Caenorhabditis elegans: one gene and its partners. The protein of the gene in region 2 purifies or fractionates together with the protein of the main gene of each other region. This does not show direct contact. Each region holds a gene or a part of one and is shown on either strand. Other genes may lie near its edges.

Evidence for each region.
Region 1: the proteins of htp-3 (region 2) and him-1 purify together in Caenorhabditis elegans (affinity purification with mass spectrometry, with the first as the bait; one study listed by BioGRID). This does not show direct contact.
Region 3: the proteins of htp-3 (region 2) and rec-8 purify together in Caenorhabditis elegans (affinity purification with mass spectrometry, with the first as the bait; one study listed by BioGRID). This does not show direct contact.

Annotation. Positions count from the first base shown.
Region 1 is NC_003279.8:4,951,630-4,959,230, reverse strand, and holds the start of him-1 (Structural maintenance of chromosomes protein 1), read left to right. Parts: upstream 1-1,563; 5' UTR 1,564-1,570; coding exon 1,571-1,792; intron 1,793-1,841; coding exon 1,842-2,423; intron 2,424-2,672; coding exon 2,673-3,581; intron 3,582-3,633; coding exon 3,634-3,983; intron 3,984-4,040; coding exon 4,041-4,260; intron 4,261-4,447; coding exon 4,448-4,729; intron 4,730-4,826; coding exon 4,827-5,175; intron 5,176-5,310; coding exon 5,311-5,432; intron 5,433-5,713; coding exon 5,714-5,920; intron 5,921-6,617; coding exon 6,618-6,941; intron 6,942-7,199; coding exon 7,200-7,421; 3' UTR 7,422-7,601. Other genes in the region: mzt-1 (Mitotic spindle organiZing protein (MOZART) homolog), read left to right, coding at 1,077-1,104, 1,154-1,221, 1,267-1,374. UniProt on the Caenorhabditis elegans protein: Involved in chromosome cohesion during cell cycle and in DNA repair. Required for chromosome segregation during mitosis. Central component of cohesin complex. The cohesin complex is required for the cohesion of sister chromatids after DNA replication.
Region 2 is NC_003279.8:4,825,294-4,830,314, forward strand, and holds htp-3 (HORMA domain-containing protein), read left to right. Parts: upstream 1-1,778; 5' UTR 1,779-1,785; coding exon 1,786-1,842; intron 1,843-1,892; coding exon 1,893-2,046; intron 2,047-2,095; coding exon 2,096-2,199; intron 2,200-2,243; coding exon 2,244-2,356; intron 2,357-2,401; coding exon 2,402-2,553; intron 2,554-2,602; coding exon 2,603-2,696; intron 2,697-2,743; coding exon 2,744-2,928; intron 2,929-2,972; coding exon 2,973-3,337; intron 3,338-3,387; coding exon 3,388-4,383; 3' UTR 4,384-4,503; downstream 4,504-5,021. Other genes in the region: tofu-4 (Twenty One u-rna (21U-RNA) biogenesis Fouled Up), read right to left, coding at 1-182, 228-344, 389-621, 666-773, 822-995, 1,041-1,340; F57C9.4 (C2H2-type domain-containing protein), read left to right, coding at 4,847-4,963, 5,017-5,021.
Region 3 is NC_003282.8:13,348,584-13,354,927, reverse strand, and holds rec-8 (Meiotic recombination protein rec-8), read left to right. Parts: upstream 1-1,734; coding exon 1,735-1,787; intron 1,788-1,836; coding exon 1,837-2,036; intron 2,037-2,081; coding exon 2,082-2,278; intron 2,279-2,326; coding exon 2,327-2,442; intron 2,443-2,884; coding exon 2,885-4,329; intron 4,330-4,826; coding exon 4,827-4,974; intron 4,975-5,446; coding exon 5,447-5,544; intron 5,545-5,598; coding exon 5,599-5,687; 3' UTR 5,688-5,806; downstream 5,807-6,344. Other genes in the region: Zinc finger protein mex-5, read right to left, coding at 47-470, 516-1,036, 1,085-1,198.

The DNA.
Region 1 (7,601 bases), 130 kb from region 2:
ATCCTGTTTTGGGAGGCCCCACGAAAAGGGGAGCAGAACGAAAAGGCGATCTGCAAAAAGGGGATCTGCGAAAAGGGGAGATACGAAAAGGGGAGATACGAAAAGGGGAGCAACGAAAAGGGGAGCTGGCACTGTGCCAAACGCACAAAACGCAATTTTTCTCACGCAACGCACGTTGATTTTTGAAATTTTCTTCTAGAAGATACGCTTAACAACACGCGACGCGTAACATCGGAGCATCGTTGTATCGTTTTCTTCGAGAAAAATAGCGTTTGGCACAGCCAGATCCCCTTTTCGTTGCTCCCCTTTTCGTATCTCCCCTTTTCGTATCTCCCCTTTTCGCAGATCCCCTTTTCGTTCTGCTCCCCTTTTCGTGGGGCCTCAAACGTGACTTCCAAAATCGCCGCGAGACCCGAACGACTGAGTCTGTGTCCCTTTAAATGTATATTTACGGCAGCCTTTCAGAGAAATTTTTCAATTCATTGCGATTTCCTTCACATATTTCGTTGTTTTTTTTAATTTAGTACTATCAGAAAAATAAAAAATTGACTCTACCATGCAAAAAAAAACAAAAATTTACACTAGGTTTGACGAATTTAACTACTTCTCTTCGATCTGTTGCTTTATGTAAATAGTTGTTTTCTTATTGAAAATTGTATTTTTTATTGATGTTCTCAGCAAGTTCCGCGTACTAACTCAGAGTTTTTGAATCAGCGTGGCATTAGGAATGCTCTTTTACAACATTCTCTGTTGTTTTTTCTCTAATAATCTTTAACTTTTCAATACTAACTTCTTATTGTTTTTATTACCTTTTGTACCATCTTTATCACGAAATATTGCAAGAAATTCATTTTAATATTCCTCCAAAAACAACACTACGACACTCCGCAGTAACATTTATGCGTTTCGTTTAGCGTCCTCACATTTCAAATTTGAACCTGTTCATCTAACGATACTAAGTGATTTTTCGATAATTTATGCTTTATTATTGTTATTTCTGACAACAACGGATTGAAATTATATTTTTCTATTTAAGGATCATCAATTTCACTTATCTCCCCGTTATTTTATCGATTATGAGCGACCCAAAGAAACACACCCAGCGTAAGTTGAATTTTTTCAATATAAATCGATAATGTTTTTACATTTACAGGCATTGTTGAAATGGGAAAATTTCTAAATGTTTTCCTCACAGCTGAGCAGGTTTCGTCAGTGGAGAGGGTGAGATTTTATCGATTTTCCCAGTATTTTATTCACTTATTTCAGTTACTATCACTGGGCGTTTCACCGTTGAACCTTGTCCGTCTTATTCAAAACCTTGGAACTCCCAGCACACAGAGTTCACCAAGCAATCGGGAAAATGCATTGTCATGATTTAATCAGCTCCTCAAATTATCGGCAAACCTGGTCATAATGTATATTCACTTTTTTTAAAATAAACTAAACTGGTTTCTCATTATTATCTATTTTTATTTATTCCATGTATGATATTGGTTTATCTACCAAAAATTACCTCACCATTCTTATTCTTGTTCAACTATAACTTTTTACTTAATTCTTCAGACTAATAATGCGTGGCGGAAGCTCGCTGGATAGTTTTCCAGGCAAAGGAACTCTCCACACACTCGAGATCGAAAACTTCAAATCTTACAAGGGAAAACATACTATTGGACCCTTTACAAGATTCACAGCTATCATTGGACCAAATGGTTCAGGAAAATCAAATCTTATGGACGCAATTTCGTTCGTGCTCGGAGAGAAGCCAAGCAGTTTGCGTGTTAGAAAGTATGCGGTAAGAGAAAAAGTATAAAATATAGAAGATTTTAATCAATAATGTTTAGGATTTGATTCATGGTGCACCAATTAACAAGCCAGTTGCTAAGAAATGTCGTGTCACTATGAACTACAAATATTCTGACGGAAAAGTCAAGGCATTCACCAGAGGCGTCAATAATGGAACATCTGAACATCTTCTTGATGGTCAAACTGTCACAAGTGCAGCATATTCACAAGAAATGGAAAGTATCAATATCTTCATCAAGGCAAGAAACTTTCTGGTATATCAGGGAGCTATCGAAAATATTGCCATGAAAACTCCAAAAGAACGTACTCAACTCTTCGAGGAGCTCTCACGATCACACGAGTTTCAAGCAGAGTATGAAAGATTGAAAGTTGAGATGACAAAAGCTGAAGATGATACTCAACACAATATGAACAAGAGACGAGGAATCGCTCAAGAGAAACGTGAGGCAAAAATGGAGAAAGATGAAGCTGAAAAGTATCAAACCATGAAGAATGAGCTGGCTGCAAAATCGACGATGCTATTTCTCCATCAATTGTTCCATTGCGAACGGACGATCGACGAATCAAAAGAGGAGATCAACGCTCAGAAAAAGACGATTGCAAGTCTCGAAGCAACTAGGGTATGATGAAGGCAATTCTACTAAATGACGTTCTTCCAATATTTTTCATTCATATTTTGTGATAAACTTTAGAAAAATATTTTCTTTATCTGAAAATTACTTATTTAACTTGGAACAACTTAAAAAGCAGTTCTTCCAAGTTATACAAAAGTTATTTTCCGGTGAAGCTAATATTGTTCAATATTTTATCGTAAAATTTTGATTGATTGATTTATAGTATATAAAAATAATCAAAATTATATATTACAGTCGAAAGAAGAAGCGAAAATCGCTGCGGTTCATCAGGAGCACCGGAAAGCTCTCCGCGAGGTTCAGAAGATGACAAGAAAACTCGATCAGAAAGAGACGGATTTGGCTGAAAAGCAACAAAATATGCTGACATTGAAAGTTTCCGTTGCTCACGAGCACAAGAAGCTGGAAATTGCGAAGAAGATGCTTGCCGCTGCAGAAAGTAAGGCAGAGAACAACTCGACTCAGCTGGCGGATTTGAAGAAAAGCAAAAAAGAGCTAGAAAAGAAGAAGGCCGCATATGAAGCAGAGATTCAGGATATGATGCAAAGAGGCGAGTTAAATCTTTCGGATGAACAAGTACGTGAGTACGGACAGCTGAAAGATCAAGCTCAGCGAGAATCAGCAATGGTTCAAAGAGAGCTATTGATGGCCGAACAAGTGTTCGAAGGTGATAAGAGTTCTCTAAATCATGAGCTTCGACGCCAAAAGGAGCATCAAGAAAGAGTTAAAGCGAAGGAAGGTGATGTGCGAAGAATTGAAACTCAAATTGCAACTCTTGCTCAAAGAATCAAGGAAACTGAAGAAGAGACAAAGATCTTGAAAGCTGATCTTAAGAAGATTGAAAATGACGTTGTTATTGATAAATCAGCAGCAGCGGAATACAACAAAGAGCTTGTAGCTGTCGTTCGTCAACTCTCCGAAGCTTCTGGAGATTCTGCAGAAGGAGAAAGAAATCAAAGAAGAACGGAGGCACTTGAAGGATTGAAAAAGAATTTCCCGGAGAGTGTGTATGGTAGACTTGTCGATCTCTGTCAACCGTCTCATAAACGGTTCAACATTGCCACCACAAAGATTCTTCAGAAGCATATGAACAGTATTGTTTGTGATACTGAAGAGACTGCTGCCAAGGCAATTGTTTATCTGAAGGTTTGTTCTTTTTTCACTTCCAAAATTTCAATTCATAATAACTAATTTCCAGGATCACCGTTATCCCCCAGAAACCTTCCTTCCAAATGATGCACTAGTTGTTAATCCACTAAATGAAAAACTTCGTGAAATCAAAAAGCCAGCTGGAGTGAAGCTCGTCTTCGATGTCATCAATCCTCAACATCAAGCAGCTAGAAAAGCTCTTCAATTCGTTTGTGGAAACGCATTAGTTTGTGAGAGTCAAGAAGATGCTAAGCAGCTTGCATACGGTGGAGGAGAGCTGAAAGATCGTTTCAAGGCAGTTTCGATGGACGGAACTCTGTTCCAACAATCTGGAGTTATGTCCGGAGGTTCTGCTGATTTGAGACAAAAGTCCAAGAAATGGGACGAGAAAGTTGTCAAGTGAGTTTTTATTTTATTTTTTATTAAATTGAAAAAAAAACATTAATATTTTTCCAGACAACTCCGAGAAAAGCGGAACCAACTGAACGAAAAAATCGCGGATCTTCAGAAACATCGTCGTCGTGAACTCGAAGTGGAAAGTGTACGCTCCAAGATTAATGGAAATGAGCAAAGATTGGCAATGATGAAGCGAGATCTGAAGAATATGCGAGAAATGCAGTTGGAAAGACTTCAAAATGAGCTTGAAGGCATGACCGCGGAGATGAATATGCTTCCGGTGATTATTTTTAGTGACCAACGGTTCTGGAAAAAAAAAATTATAACCCCAAAAAGTGCTCAACTTAACGAATTTCGTAATGAAAATTCTCAAAAATCTTTCAAAAATTTATTTATTTTGGAGCAAATTTTGGAGCCATTAGACCTCCTTTTAAATTTGTAATCTGCAAAAATTGATATATTTTCAGCCGCGAATCTCGAATTGTCAAGAAAAACTTGAACGCAGTGAAAGTACTTTAAAATCTCTGCAAACGAAGAGCAATGAAGTGGCTGATCGAATTTTCGCTGATTTCTGTACTCGTGTTGGAATCGCATCGATTCGTGACTATGAGAATCGTGAAATGCGTATCAAGCAAGAAATGGAAGACAAGCTTCGATCATTTGACGATGATATCCAAAAGTTGGCCTACGAAATTGACTTTGTCACCGAGCAAGATGGCAATCGGAAAGTTGAAGTTGAAAAGGAGAAAGTACGTTTTTCATTTTTTTGTAAAGAAACTCCTTATCAGTTTCTTTAAGATTCTTAAAATTGTTTTGTTTACCTTATTTGAAATATTTTTATTACAGGTTTCACAAATCGACCGACAATATAAGGACATGAAGAAAAAAGAGAAAACGGCGGCGGCCGCTTTGAAAGAGCACACGGAATCCATGGAGCAAGACAAGGAAGTGCTGGAAGAGAAGAAGGCCTTATCACATAAATTGGAAACCGAGTGGAATGAGGTCAAAAAAATTGCACAAGTTGCGATGAAAGACTTTACAAAGGCTGAAAAAGAGCTTCTTCGTCTTGAAAGTTTGCTTACTAAGAAGCAATATGAACGGCACTCTCTTCTTCATTCTGTGAAGCTTGGGCAAATTGCGTTACCACTCAAATCAGGAAGTATGGCTGACGTTGAATATGAGGAAGATGATGGAGGTTGGATATTTATTTTGATTTTGATGTTTTGAAAAAATCGCATTTTCACTTTTCCATAATTCAGTTTTCAGCTTTTAGATATATATTTCATAATTTTTGTCTCCCTGTTTCCTTTCAAGTTCCAATTAATTTCAGATGACACAGCTTCTCAGTCTTCTCAATCAGCCACCGATGGTCCAAGTGTATCAGAGGAGCAAATTCAACGAGAGCAACACATCAAAATCAACTACGACTCGTTACCGCGAGAATATAAAGATGTTAGTGCTGCCAAGACATGTTTCGGTTTTCTGAGCAAACCGAAAAAATACTGGCAACAAAAATTTATTTATTTTTTCTGAACTATTTTGACCCTAAATTTTTTCGATTTTTGAGCCAAACAAAATACGAAAAAAATCTACTTTTTCGGTTTAAAAAAAACCAGCAGTCCTGTTAGTGATGGTTGCTGATCAAAAATTATTTGCTCTTTTGCCAACCCCGCCCCGCCCTGCCCCCCTCCGTGTTTTAGTTCATTTCTAGATTCACACGATTTGCATTACAGGTGGATGACGATGATGGTGTACGGCAAATGTCGAATCGACTCAATGTGGAAATCGATGAACTGCAGAAAAATGTGTCAAAAATGAATGCGCCGAATTTGAAAGCCAATCAGAGAATGGCAGAGGTGAAAGAACGAGAAGCCGAGTCGACTGAAGAACTTGAAAATGCTCGAAAGAAGGCGAAGAGAATTCGGCAACAGTTCGAGAAGGTTAGTTATTAAGAAATTCCAAACGTTTAGTATCTGAAAATGTATCGATAAAAATGAAAGTTTAGGAGAGCTTCGAATCCATTTTAGACATTGAAAAATTTAGATTTTACACATAATTTTGTGGGCCAAAATAAAAAAAATTCCTTGACTAGATAAAAACTAGAAAATTAGCTAAAAAATATATATTTAAAACCTACAAAATGCATTATTTTTTAAATGTCAAAAATGGATTCAAATCAGGAGTGGGCATCAGTTATTTTTTCAAAGTATAGAAAATCTCTTGATTTATCTGAAAAGAACATTTATTTCAGTCAAAAGATTTGATAAAGTACTCAAAAAATGTTATTTTCACAGATATCGGGTGATTTTTTACATTTTGACATTTTTTAAATTAAAAACGTTGAACCAACATGTTTGAATCACCGAAAAAAAAACCGCTTCATTAAAATAATTTTTTTGCGATAATTTTCCTATACTGAAAATAAGAATATTCTTGAAATTCCTTGAAATGAAAATGTGCACCTTCTGGACACCAAGTGACAAAAACATTAGAGATAAGAGACATAGACATTCATAACTTTAAAATGACAACAGTTGTACCCATATTGTCACTCAATCTGTCCCCTCTATCTCTCACACCTCTTCAATTTCACTTTTCTCATATATTTTATCGATTTTAAAATATTGTTTTTTTCAGGTAAAAACCGATCGCTACCGACGCTTCCAAGATTTCTTCGATCCTGTGGCCAACACTATCGATGACATTTACAAGCAACTCTCACGAAATACTTCTGCTCAAGCCTTCCTCGGAGCTGATAACATGGAAGAGCCCTATCTGGATGGTATCCAGTACAATTGTGTAGCTCCTGGAAAACGTTTCCGTCCGATGGATAACTTGTCTGGAGGAGAAAAGACAATTGCCGCGTTGGCACTGCTTTTTGCAGTTCACGGACGTAATCCTGCTCCGTTTTTCGTTCTCGACGAGATTGATGCTGCTTTGGATAATACTAATATTGGAAAGGTATTTATTTAAACTGTTCATTAAAATTAAATTTTGCTTCAAAAGATAGAAAAATGACTGTAATGACCGAATATTACTGTTGTAAAACACAAAAATTATAAAATAAGGGTAAATCCTCCGGTTTTTCTGCATATTTTTGATAGTTGATCTAAAAAACTATCAAACTATCAAACTTTTAAGCAAAATTTCAAAACGATTTTACTCCGCCTTTAGTATAACCTGCGAGAAAAGATTGTAACGTTTTTTTTGTAATTTCAGGTCGCTTCGTACATCTGTGAATCAGCTCGTGAGCATATGCAAATTATCGTCATTTCTCTCAAAGAAGAGTTCTACAACAAAGCTGACTCACTCATCGGAATCTTCCCATATCCAGCCGCTTGTACAACATCTGGTGTTCTCACTTTCGATTTGACGCGCTTCAAACAAATTGGTCTCAATGAAATGACTGAAAATCCACCAACACCATCGATTGCAACATAAATTATATAAATTTTTGACAACCGCGACTATCAAATCATCTGTATAATTTCATTATTACTATTCCCTTACCCCTCATTATTTCTTAATTATCAAAAACCGATTCACTCAGTCACACAGTTCCCCGCATTTAAAGGTCTCAAACGTTTTTCCCTCTTCTCTCTTATACATTACTGTTTTTAT
Region 2 (5,021 bases):
TTTCCACGTTTGTGTAGTCGATTGGAACATCTACATGTCCGAGCGATTTCTGCTTAATCCTTTCGCGAATTTCCTTCATCAGTTTGGAGTCTCTTTCCTGCTTTTTTGAATTTGCGACATTATTCAGGAACTTGATGGAAGACTCGTGAGCATTGAATGTGGATTGGAAGAAGACGAGATGGCTGAAAAATATTCTTAATCAATATATATGGTTTTAAAATACTCACGTAAATGGTTCCTGCCATAATAATTCGTCCGGATATTTGATGTCGTTCTTGTCAATAAATCCTGAATGTTGATTTTGAATTGAAGATCGACTGTATCCATGAACGGACTTTGGAGCACTGAAAACATAATATTTATTCATGATATTTCTCTTAACAATTACTTGTAGCTCGCGATCTTCTCCGAAAAAGGGTTCATATTTAGTTCGACGGCCTGTGCCACTTGCTCTTTAGAGTTTCTTGTTTGGTAGAAAGAAAATGAATGCGAAATAATATCCGCTTCATCCTCATCGGAATTGATTTCGTCTCTTTTTGTTGATCTGATTCCGATACCCATCCTTCTCATTGCTTTCCAATCGACTTCAGGATCGTCTTGTTTGATGTCACTTGTCAAAGACTGAAAAATTATTGCAAATATTTAAATTATAAATTCTTACACACCTTCAGAGTCAATCCTTGCTCAGCAAAAGTGTCACAGGTGTAATCATCTGCAAGTTCCAGGTCCGGTCTCTTGATGCGACGTCTTTTAGGGACTCCTTGAGGTCTGGTCTGCAAGAAATCATTTCTAAATTTCAACAACTAGCATTAAAATCCCACCATTTTTCTTCTATACAGTCGCCTTCTTCGTTGCTTCGGCATCGCTTGTGGTTCGTACTCACAAACCACGTCTTCAGTGTCTGAGACTTCCCCATCTAACGCTTTCTTTTTCTTTTTGAGAATCCTGTCGTTCTTCAACCCACGAGCAATTTTCTGCTCTAATTCTCGGACAATCTTAAAGAAGTTAAATCGATAAAAATTTTTTAAAAGGCAGCATACGCGTTCATCCGGTCGCTCGCCTTCGGAACTTTCTGCAGCATCCACCATCGAACTCTTGTGAGTCTCCACAACGTATTCATCATCACTCTCCTCGTCGCTGCTGCTACTGTGATCATCGTCGTATTCATTTTCTGAAAAACTCTTGTTGTCAGTGCCATCTGCCGATGCGGGCGGTACTTCGATCTCCAACGGATCCTCTACAATTTCTGTTTCAGGAATTCGTGATTTCTTCTCGGGCTGGTTCACTCCCGAAGATTCCGCATTTGCTCTTTTTGATGCGCTTCTCGTCGTCGGTTTCATCTGAAATTAATGTCTCATTATTAAATATAGAAGCTTAAAAACACAATAAATGAATAAGTAAAAAACGTTTATTTAAATTTTAAGTGCTTTCATCTGTTCTTTGCACATTTCAAAGCGGTTTCTAGACTCAAAATACATAGAGATATGCTCAGATTTTAATAAACTACAATTTTAAAACTTCAAAATATGAGAAATTCTCTTGAAAGTGCATTTTAAGTAGAAAATGAACGGAAAAAAATTGAAATATAAAAGAAAAAACTTAAAGGTGCATGACATTTCTTCCATGGGTCTCGACACGAGAACACAACATGTTGACCTGAGTTACGGTAAACTTCGGTTGAAATTAGTTATTTTATGTCAAATTATTCATTTATTTTTCAGTTTTTTCTCATTTTCAATTAGTTTTTAATTAAAAAAAATGTTTTAAAATATTTTAAGTGTCAAAATGGACGAAAGCTTCGACTCTTCTGTTGTCCCTGGCTCTCTGACGAGTGATGACAGGGTGAGTAGATTTGACAGAGTTTTTTTTGTCGAGAAAACGAAAATTTTCAGGCTATATTCAACGAGCAAACATTGAAAAATGGTGATGAAAATTCGAAAAGCTCTCTTGAAGTGATGGCCAACTGCGTTTATCTTGCAAACTCAACAATTCTCCGTGAACGGAAAGTTATTCCTGCGGAATACTTCCAGGATTTTCAAGTTTATGGTGAGGTTTTATCTATCTGACTTGCAATTAAGCATGAATTATTTTATAGGAGATGTCAGCGGATATACTTTGCGACAAGACATTCCAGAAGGACGGAGTGTGTCTTCGAAGCTTTTGGCGTCTCATGACGCGATCCGTCAGAAACTCCTTCAGGTACAGTTTTACTCTCGTAAGTGGTAAAAATTCATTGTTTGCAGAAACTCGCTATTGTCGTTGAAGAGTCACTAAACACGAATCCCGTGGAAACGTTTGTCTGGACCTTTGTCTATGACTCAACCACATCTGCAAGTGCCGAAATCGGATACGGAGGGTTAGATCATTTATCTAAATATAAATTTCACTGACTCTTTTCCAGGCGTAAATCTAAATTTGTGGTGAATTATTTAAACATGGATGATACTGCTCAACAGTTTTGCAAGATGTTCAGCGAGCTTAGAAATGTTCTAAGCCTGCTCCGTCCGCTACCAAGAGGCCTCATTCCATCGATGAAAGTAGCATACAGAGGAGGTAAGGTTAAAAATATTTAATTTAAATCATAAATAAATTATTGTTTTAGAACCGGAATTCGTTCCCGGATTTCAACAAGTCGACGATTTTGTGAATCCTGAGCAGATCAATCTTGGTGCTGTTAGTTTTCCTCACGGCAATGGGTTTGTTCGTCATTTCAATCATCAAATTCTTAATTAAATTGATTCAGATTTCAATTCGCATATGCCTCGAAATTCATGGTTGAACAGCCTTCAGCCATTCGTCCACCAGTGGAAGTTTCTCATTTTGAAGATGATTTGCTCAACTCAACGATCACACCGATCGAAGTTGTTCGAGATAACACAATGAATTGTGCTGAGAATCCTGAACTTGACGAAATCTATTTTTCACCAGGTGCGTTTTGTCGAGAAAAAAAATTAATTTTCTAATGTTTATAGGTCGTCAAGAAGTACGTATGGACGAAGATGTGGCAAACGAATCAATTCGTTGTAATCCAAGTATGGCCAGTGAAATGATGGTTCTGCAGTCCGAATATAATGTATTGATTGCTGATAATGATGAAGTTCCAATGGTTGTTGAAAGGGAACGTTCTCCAATAGTGAAAGCTGCAAAGAAACGTTCAACGAGAGCTCCCGCTGTCCCGATAACTCCAACGGAACCGGCTTCTCCCGTGGAGTCCCCGGTGAAAGAGCAACCTCAAAAAGCGCCAAAAGCTCAGATGAGACGTTCCAGTAAACGCACCACGAAGAACAATGAACGATGCGAACAGAAAGAAGAAGAACCAATAGTGAACCCAAAAAGGGTAATTATTTTTATTGTTATAATAAAAATGTTAAGTTCAATAATTTACAGAGAAGTGCTCGTCGGCTTGTACCTCCAGTTGAAGTCGATGAACAGCCAGAAGAACAAAATGATGATGATGCTCAGAATTCTCTTCAAATTGACTCTGATGCTCAGAATTCTCTTCAAATTGACTCTGATGCTATTATCACCTCTCCCGAGAAGAGAAATGAATCAAAGTCTGCAATACCTGAGGAAGCTGCGGATCTAGATAATACTACATCTGAGAAGCAGGAGAGCTCAACAGCAAGATATGGCGTTTCAAATACTTCTATTAACAGGAAAAAACCAGACCCAGTTGCAAATCCGGTTTCGGAAGAGGCTCAGGTAGATTTGGCGAACGGTAGTATCCCGGATAAAAGACCACGGAAGAGAAAATATGGACGAGTGTCGAGTATTCTCGACGTCGCTGATCTGCCAACTGACGATACAGTGGAGGAAGACGTTCGTGAAAGTCCCATCTACGGTCGTGTACCAAGTATATTGGATGTAGCAAGGGCTGAGGAGAACGATGCTCAAAATGATGCTCAAGATGCTCAAAATGAAATTGCTGTTGAGGGACTTGCCGACTTATCAATTGACACCGAGCAGCATGAAGAAGCAGCTCCAATTAATGTTACTGGTCATCAATCGGAGAGCGTTCCAATCATTGTGACGGAGCATCAGTCTGAAGAAGCTCAAACGGTTGTCACGGAGCAACCAGCAGGAGCAGCTTCAGTTATTGCTGCGGAGAGACACTACGGCCGAGTTTCGAGTATTCTCGATGTAGCTGGTTCGTTCGCTGACGTAGATCCATCAGGTGCCGCTCCAGCTATTGCCACAGAGAGACACTACGGCCGAGTTTCGAGTATTCTTGATGTAGCTGGTTCGTTAAGTGACGTAGATCCACAGGAAGATACCGAAAGCTCCACTCAAAACCAATCGACTTCCAAGAAATTCAAACCAAACCCTCCAAAGGCAATGAGGTACGGCCAGTCGCCGAACATGCCAAGTAGAAGAGGAAACTGAACGATTTCTGGACAATCGTGTACAATTATCAATCTGTTCCATTTTTTTGTTGTTTCTTCGATTTCCTTTTTAATAGTTGGACAAATGCCTTAGTTTTCGAATGAATTTTTTAAATATTAATTTTCATATCCGATGATGATGGGAATTTGTTAAAATACAAAATATTACTTGCATGTGATGAAATATTTAGAGCTATTCAAGTATTTTCCAGCGTTTCAGAATTCTTTCGTTGGCGTTCTTTTTTGAACATAGCGCCGTTTTCTTTCTCAAAGGAGCGCGGTGACATACACTTGTTTCCCTTTTTTCAGTGGCCGTTCGCTCTTTACTCTAATCGATTTCACTTTGGCATTCTGTTCTTATTCCAGCTAAAGTTTTTAAGAATTGTGTTTTTTTAATGAATTTCTCTTTTTGGGTTCTATTTAGTTCGCCACATTTTGAAAAAAATCAACGTTTTTCAGGATAAATGACATCATTAATCGATTCGAGGGTGCTCTACGAGAGTGATTTTTCCATTTTCAACGGTCGACTATGTTCTCTACGCATATCAGCTGTTACCAATAATGAAGAGGGTATTGAAAAAGTGAGATTAATTGGAGATATATTGATTTTTAAATAAAAATAATTAATTTTCAGATTCG
Region 3 (6,344 bases), on a different chromosome or scaffold from region 2:
AAATATGTTAAAGTTTCAAAAATGATGAGCAAAAGTGGAAACTCACATATGGAGGAATATTCTGGAATTCCTTGTCCGTTGGATGAACAAACTCGCAACGAAGTCCATACGGGCAGAATCCAGTTCCTCCACGCGCAAAGTTCTTGCACAGCTTTGTCTTGTACTTGTTGTTCGGATAGCGAGCCGGAGCATCAGTAGCTCTGAGCTCTTTGAGCCCATGAGCAAACTTGCATCGAGCACCCATATCACATGGTTTGATTCCAGATGCGTGCATCATGCAAAGACGAGTCTTGTAGTTGGGTGGTTGTTGACTGTCAGTTTCTGGAATTGGGAATCCACGACGACCGAACTTCTCGCCACGATGTTCATGGAAATGATTTTCCTTTTCAGCGCTCATCGTGTCATCGTTGTGATTGTCAAGGGTGATCTTTGAGATCTCATCGATCGGCAACTCGTCATGCTCCATAACACTGAAAAACATATAATTTTTATATTAAATTTCAAACTAATATTACCGATGATATCTGAATTGGATGTTCCTGTTGCGATTATCACGCTGAACAGTCTCGTATTCGAGACTTGTTGGAAGAGGAGTAGACGAGGTCAATGGAGCTGTGCGTGTGCTACTAATCTCCACTCCCACTTGTCTTGGCTGTTGTTGAGGTGGAATTGCCGGCTGCGTATGTGGCATCACACCCATTTGTTCTGGAAGCATCGGTGCGGCTTGCATAGGATGGAAGTACATTGGAGCCGCTTGTGGAGCCATTGATTGTTGATAATAGATGAGCTGTGGTTGTCCTGACTGCATGACTTGCTGAGCTCCTTGTTGTGGTTGAGCCATATAGAGATACGGTTGACCAGAAACCATCATGTGCTGTTGAGGAGCCATTGATCCGTTCGCGGGAACCTGCACATACTGTCCGTTGGCATCTTGATAATATGGAGCCGCTGGGGCGTACTGTTGAGAAGATCCATTTTGTGCCGCATACGTCGCCATTGGCTGGTTCGGCATGGCAGCCGCGAAGTAGTACTGCATCTGAAAAATATAACTGTAATATTATCAACATTTGTTGATTGTGAATACCTGTTGATCGTAGATTTGAGGATGTGACGACTGCCCTGGTGGTAGTGGTGGCTGGGTTGTCGTAGGTGACACTGATCCTCCGGCCGACGAGACACTATTTGATGCCGCTTTCATTCTCTGTCTGAAACATTCAATTGATTATCGATAAAATTAATTAAGAGAGAATACAATGAGAAAACGGAAAATCGAGCAGGATTTTGGGGAAAGTCGGGGAATTTTTGCTATTTAAGCTTTCTTTAACAAAGAAACTGCATTTTTCCATGAGATTACCATGAAATTTGCGTTAAATGGGTGAATTTATAACATTTACGGCTAGAAATTAATTTTAAAAAAGAGAATAAACGAAAAATTATTCGAGAAAACGTCTTTGAAGCAGAAATGAAATGAAAAAACAACCGCCAGCGCTGACAAAAATGATCAAACAAACGGAGTACGGTATACGCGGTAAGACCCAAATGAATTTTAATTCGGTGCGCCTTTAAAAAATGTATTTTTTTAATTTCTTTATCCGTGGGCCCAAATGTATTTTTTTCTTGTGGTTTGATGTAAAAATTGGGTTATATTATTTGTTTTATGGTTTAATTTTTTAAAAACTGATATTTTGCCGTTGTGAAAACCGTAAAATCAGTCGAAAATGTATTTTCTTGCAGATGGTTGTCTCTGCGGAAGTAATTCGAAAAGATGCCGTGTTTCACGTGGCTTGGTGAGTTTTCTCATCTTTTCAATCTAATTTATAATTTCTGCTTTTCCAGGATTCTTGGTACCGGCGACTCGAAAAAGCTGTCACGAAGAGAGATTTTGGACCAAAATCTCCCGGAACTGTGTCATTCAATCATTGAAATGGTTCCCGAACGGCACAGGGGCTCAGCAACAAAAACTGGACTTTATTTGCTATCCCTGCTCACATATGGAACAGTTTTGATCCATCAAGTTCAGGTTGATTTCTTGAAACGTGAGTTGGAGAATTGTATCGTCAGAAATCAATTAATATTTTCAGGAGACGTCGAGAAGCTCAAAGAGCTCATGAAGAAGAAAAGTTTCATTTTGCTGATGGCTGAAAGGTTCGACAGAAACCAAGAGTTGCAGAGAAAAGAAGATAAATTCGCAAGACTGAGATCTAAGCCTATTATGTGCGTCGAGGAGTTGGATCGGGTTGATTTGGCTCATTTACAAGCAATTGGCGACGAATTGGGAGTGAGTTCAAGTTAATTAAATAATCAATAATCAAGAATATTCTTCTAGATCAATGGAAATCCAGGAGACTTTATAATGATGGATGCGTTGCCCAACATGAATCAGTGGATTGACAATAATTCAGAATTGAATGCGATCTATGGATGTGTTGAGCCTTACCTGAGGTTCGGAACTGAATAATCGATCCCAGATTTTGAAAAAAAGCAGCGACGCACATGAACCCTGCGGCACGGTTTTTCACCTTATTTCAATAAAATTTCGATTTTCCTTGATTTATTCGCATTTTGCGTATGAAAATGCTATCCAATTAAATTTGCATAAGATTGCGAGGATATTTCCTGTTTTTACAACCAATGAAGCTCTAAATATCCTTATAATCTTATGAGAATTTATGCGGATTGCATTTCCATTCGAAAAAAAGAGAATAAACCAATTACAATCGAAATTTTATTTTAAAAAAATCAACAAAAGCTCTGAAAAAACCGTGCCACAGGGTAGAGAAATTACACTCCGCCTCTATTTCTGTGCGACATTGCTTTTTGCAAAATTGATGGATTGATAGTTTAATTTTAAATTAATTTCAAAAGTAAAATTTTCGTGTTTCAGAGAAAAAGAAATCACCATGCACTCCACGTTTGTCGAGGGTAACGGTTCAAATGAGCACAACAAGGAACGACGAAATGACGCGGTAATTGCCGACTTCAGCCAACTTTTGTTCCCTGAGATCCCTGAAATCACACTTGGCGAGAAATTTCCGATAGATGTCGATTCCAGAAAACGATCTGCTATCCTCCAGGAAGAGCAAGAAGAGGCTCTTCAGCTCCCCAAAGAAGCTTCTGAAATTGTGCAAGAAGAGCCTACAAAATTTGTCTCTATTGCTCTGCTCCCGAGTGAAACCGTGGAACAACCAGCACCCCAGGAGCCTATTCAAGAGCCCATTCAACCAATTATCGAGGAGCCCGCGCCACAGCTTGAGCTTCCACAGCCAGAGCTTCCACCACAACTAGATGCAATTGATCTTGTCACCATTCCAGCGAGTCAGCAGGATATGGTTGTTGAATATCTTCAATTGATCAACGATTTACCCGATGACGAGAACAGCCGACTGCCACCATTGCCGAAAGATTTAGAATTGTTTGAAGATGTAATTCTACCACCTCCAGCAAAGAAATCAAAAGTCGAAGAGGAAGAAGACGCGTTGGAAAGAGCACGAAGAAGACCATCATCGCGTCCAGTAACTCCGATTAATCAAACCGATTTGACAGATCTTCATTCAACTGTGCGACCGGAAGATCCGAGTTTCGCAATAGACTCCCAAATTCATGATGTTCTACCTCAACGGAAAAAATCGAAACGCAATCTGCCGATCATCCACAGCGATGATCTGGAAATCGACGAAGCTGTGCAAAAAGTGTTACAAGCCGATTATTCCTCACTGGTTCGTAAGAAGGAGGATGTAATAGCAAAGATTCCACCAAAAACGGATGCAGTCGCGGTGCTCATGAACTTACCAGAACCAGTTTTCAGTATCGGATATCGTCTTCCTCCAGAGGTTCGGGATATGTTCAAAGCTTGTTATAATCAAGCTGTTGGAAGTCCAGTGAGCGATGATGAAGAGGATGAAGATGAGGAAGAAGAGGAAGAATATAAATATGCAAAAGTTTGTCTTCTGTCTCCAAATCGCATCGTTGAGGATACTCTACTTCTAGAAGAGCAACCTCGTCAACCTGAAGAATTTCCATCTACGGATAATATCAACCCGCCAAGACAGCTACAGGAGAATCCAGTTTTTGAGAATTTGGAATATGAAGCGCCCCCGCATCCAATAAGAACTGCTCGTACGCCCACGCCGATCAAAGATTTGAAATATTCAGTTATTAGTCTGTTCCCAACTCCAGAGAAACGCCGGGAGACGAGCATCATTGCTGAACTGAATTTGGATCCTATTCCAGTTGAAGAAATTGATCCACTTTTGACGATGAGAACCGAAGAAGAACTTGAAAATGTTCGACGCCGTCAAAAAAGCAGTTTAGGGGTTCAATTTATGAGAAGTGAGATATTTTAATGTCGATTTAGTGTTGAAAATAATTTTTGCCGAAAATTGCCGAAAATGTTTAAATTGGGCAGTTCTCGAATTACCAAAAAAAAATTCCAATTTTCGGAATAAAAGGTCAAAAATGTTTCGATTTTTTCCTCGAAAATCGAAAATTCTTACATTTTCAGAGAATGAACGATAAAAATCACATTAAATCATAAAATCAATTTTTTTTTTGCTCATAAAAAAAATAAGAAAACATATAATTTTATTCTTTAGAATATCTTGGATTTCTTTAGGTAGAAAATGACCAAAATTGTTTTAAAAAAATAAGCAAACCGATGGTTTGTGTCGGGCTTTTGGTTTTTTTTTTACTAAAGTAAAAAACATTATTTTTGGATTTTTGAAAAATCGAGAATTTTCGTTGTTCGATTTTTTTGTTATACTCGCCGATTATTTTTCAAACTTTCGGTTGTCGCCCCCACTTTATAGTTTAAAATAAAATATTTTCAGCTGACGATCTGGAAGAGGATACTCGCCGTAATCGACTATTCGAGGATGAAGAACGGACTCGAGATGCTAGAGAAGATGAACTATTCTTCTATTCATCTGGAAGTCTCCTTCCCAATAATCGGCTCAACATCCACAAGGAATTGCTCAAGTGTGTATACTAACACTAAAACAGAAAGATCGACCTGCAAATTTTGCAAGGCGCCGCACACAAAATGAGGCGGAGCGTCGTTTTTTTAAACTTGCGGCTCGCCAGCCATTGTGGAAAACTGTAAATAAATTTTTGTCTAAAATGCTTGATTTCGGATAATTTTCGCTTATTTTTTTGTGTTTAATATTCGAAATAATCTAAAAATTTGGAGTTTATTCAACGAAAATTTGCCATTTTCGCCGGAAAAATACCATAAATAGTCAGTTTATTTCGAATATTAACAACAACGAAATTAGCGAAAATATTCCGAAATCCAGAATTTTCGCGAAAAATTATTTCATAGTTGTCCACGAGCCGCAGGCTTGCAGAACAACACCCCGCCTCTTTTTCTGTGCGACGCATTGGCAGGTCAATCGCTCAGTTTTGATCGTAATTGGAACTACGAAAAATCAAAAAAAAATCAATTTTTCAGCGAAGCAGAAGCAAGATATCCAGAATGGGTGAATTTCAATGAATTCACTGCGGATCACGATCGTAAAAAGGCAGCAACCGCCTTTGAGGGCCTTCTTTGTAAGATATTTAGTCGTTGAGACACAAATTAAAATAAAAATAAATATTTTTCAGTGAGTCTCAAGAATATGAAGGTTGAAGCGAAGCAAGAAGATCCTTATTTTCCAATTCTAGTACGTCACATCAGCCACGAAGAAATGTGAAGCTGCTAATATAATTGATACTGTATCATTTCCCAATTTTTCATAGCTTCCATTGTTTTGTTGTATTTTATTGCTTTGCCTTGTTCGTTAATCTTTAAAACTGAAAACTACTGTACCATTCATTTTTTTAACTTTTTTTCCTGTTGTTAAACGACTCTAGCTAGGGCTGTTATGAGGGACGAAAAGGGGCGCCCCTCGTCCCCTCGTGGGGGCGCTTCCTTCATCCAGTGCGAAAAATGTGCGTTTGTATCCTCCATGTCGATAGCAAAACAAGTTATGATTTTGCTTCATAATTATTAAAGTGACACGTTTTTTGTGTGGAATATCCACGATGGACCCGCACAATTTAACGGAAACGAGTTTCACGTAAAAATATTTTAAATGAGGTGAATATCTAATATAAGTAAAAATGAATAGGACGCGACTTTTCGTCACATCGGGGACGAGGGTCGTCCCCCATCCCCCAACCAGGGGACGGGGGCGTCCCTCGCCCCCATGAGGGGGACGAATGATCGCCCCCGCCCCCCAAAAAGGGACGTCCCTCATAACAGCCCTAACTCTAGCTAATAAAAATTGGTAGGAAATACAAAATATTAATTTATGAAAACGTGAATAATATGACCCGGGTGAGTATATAAAATATAATTATTTATATGA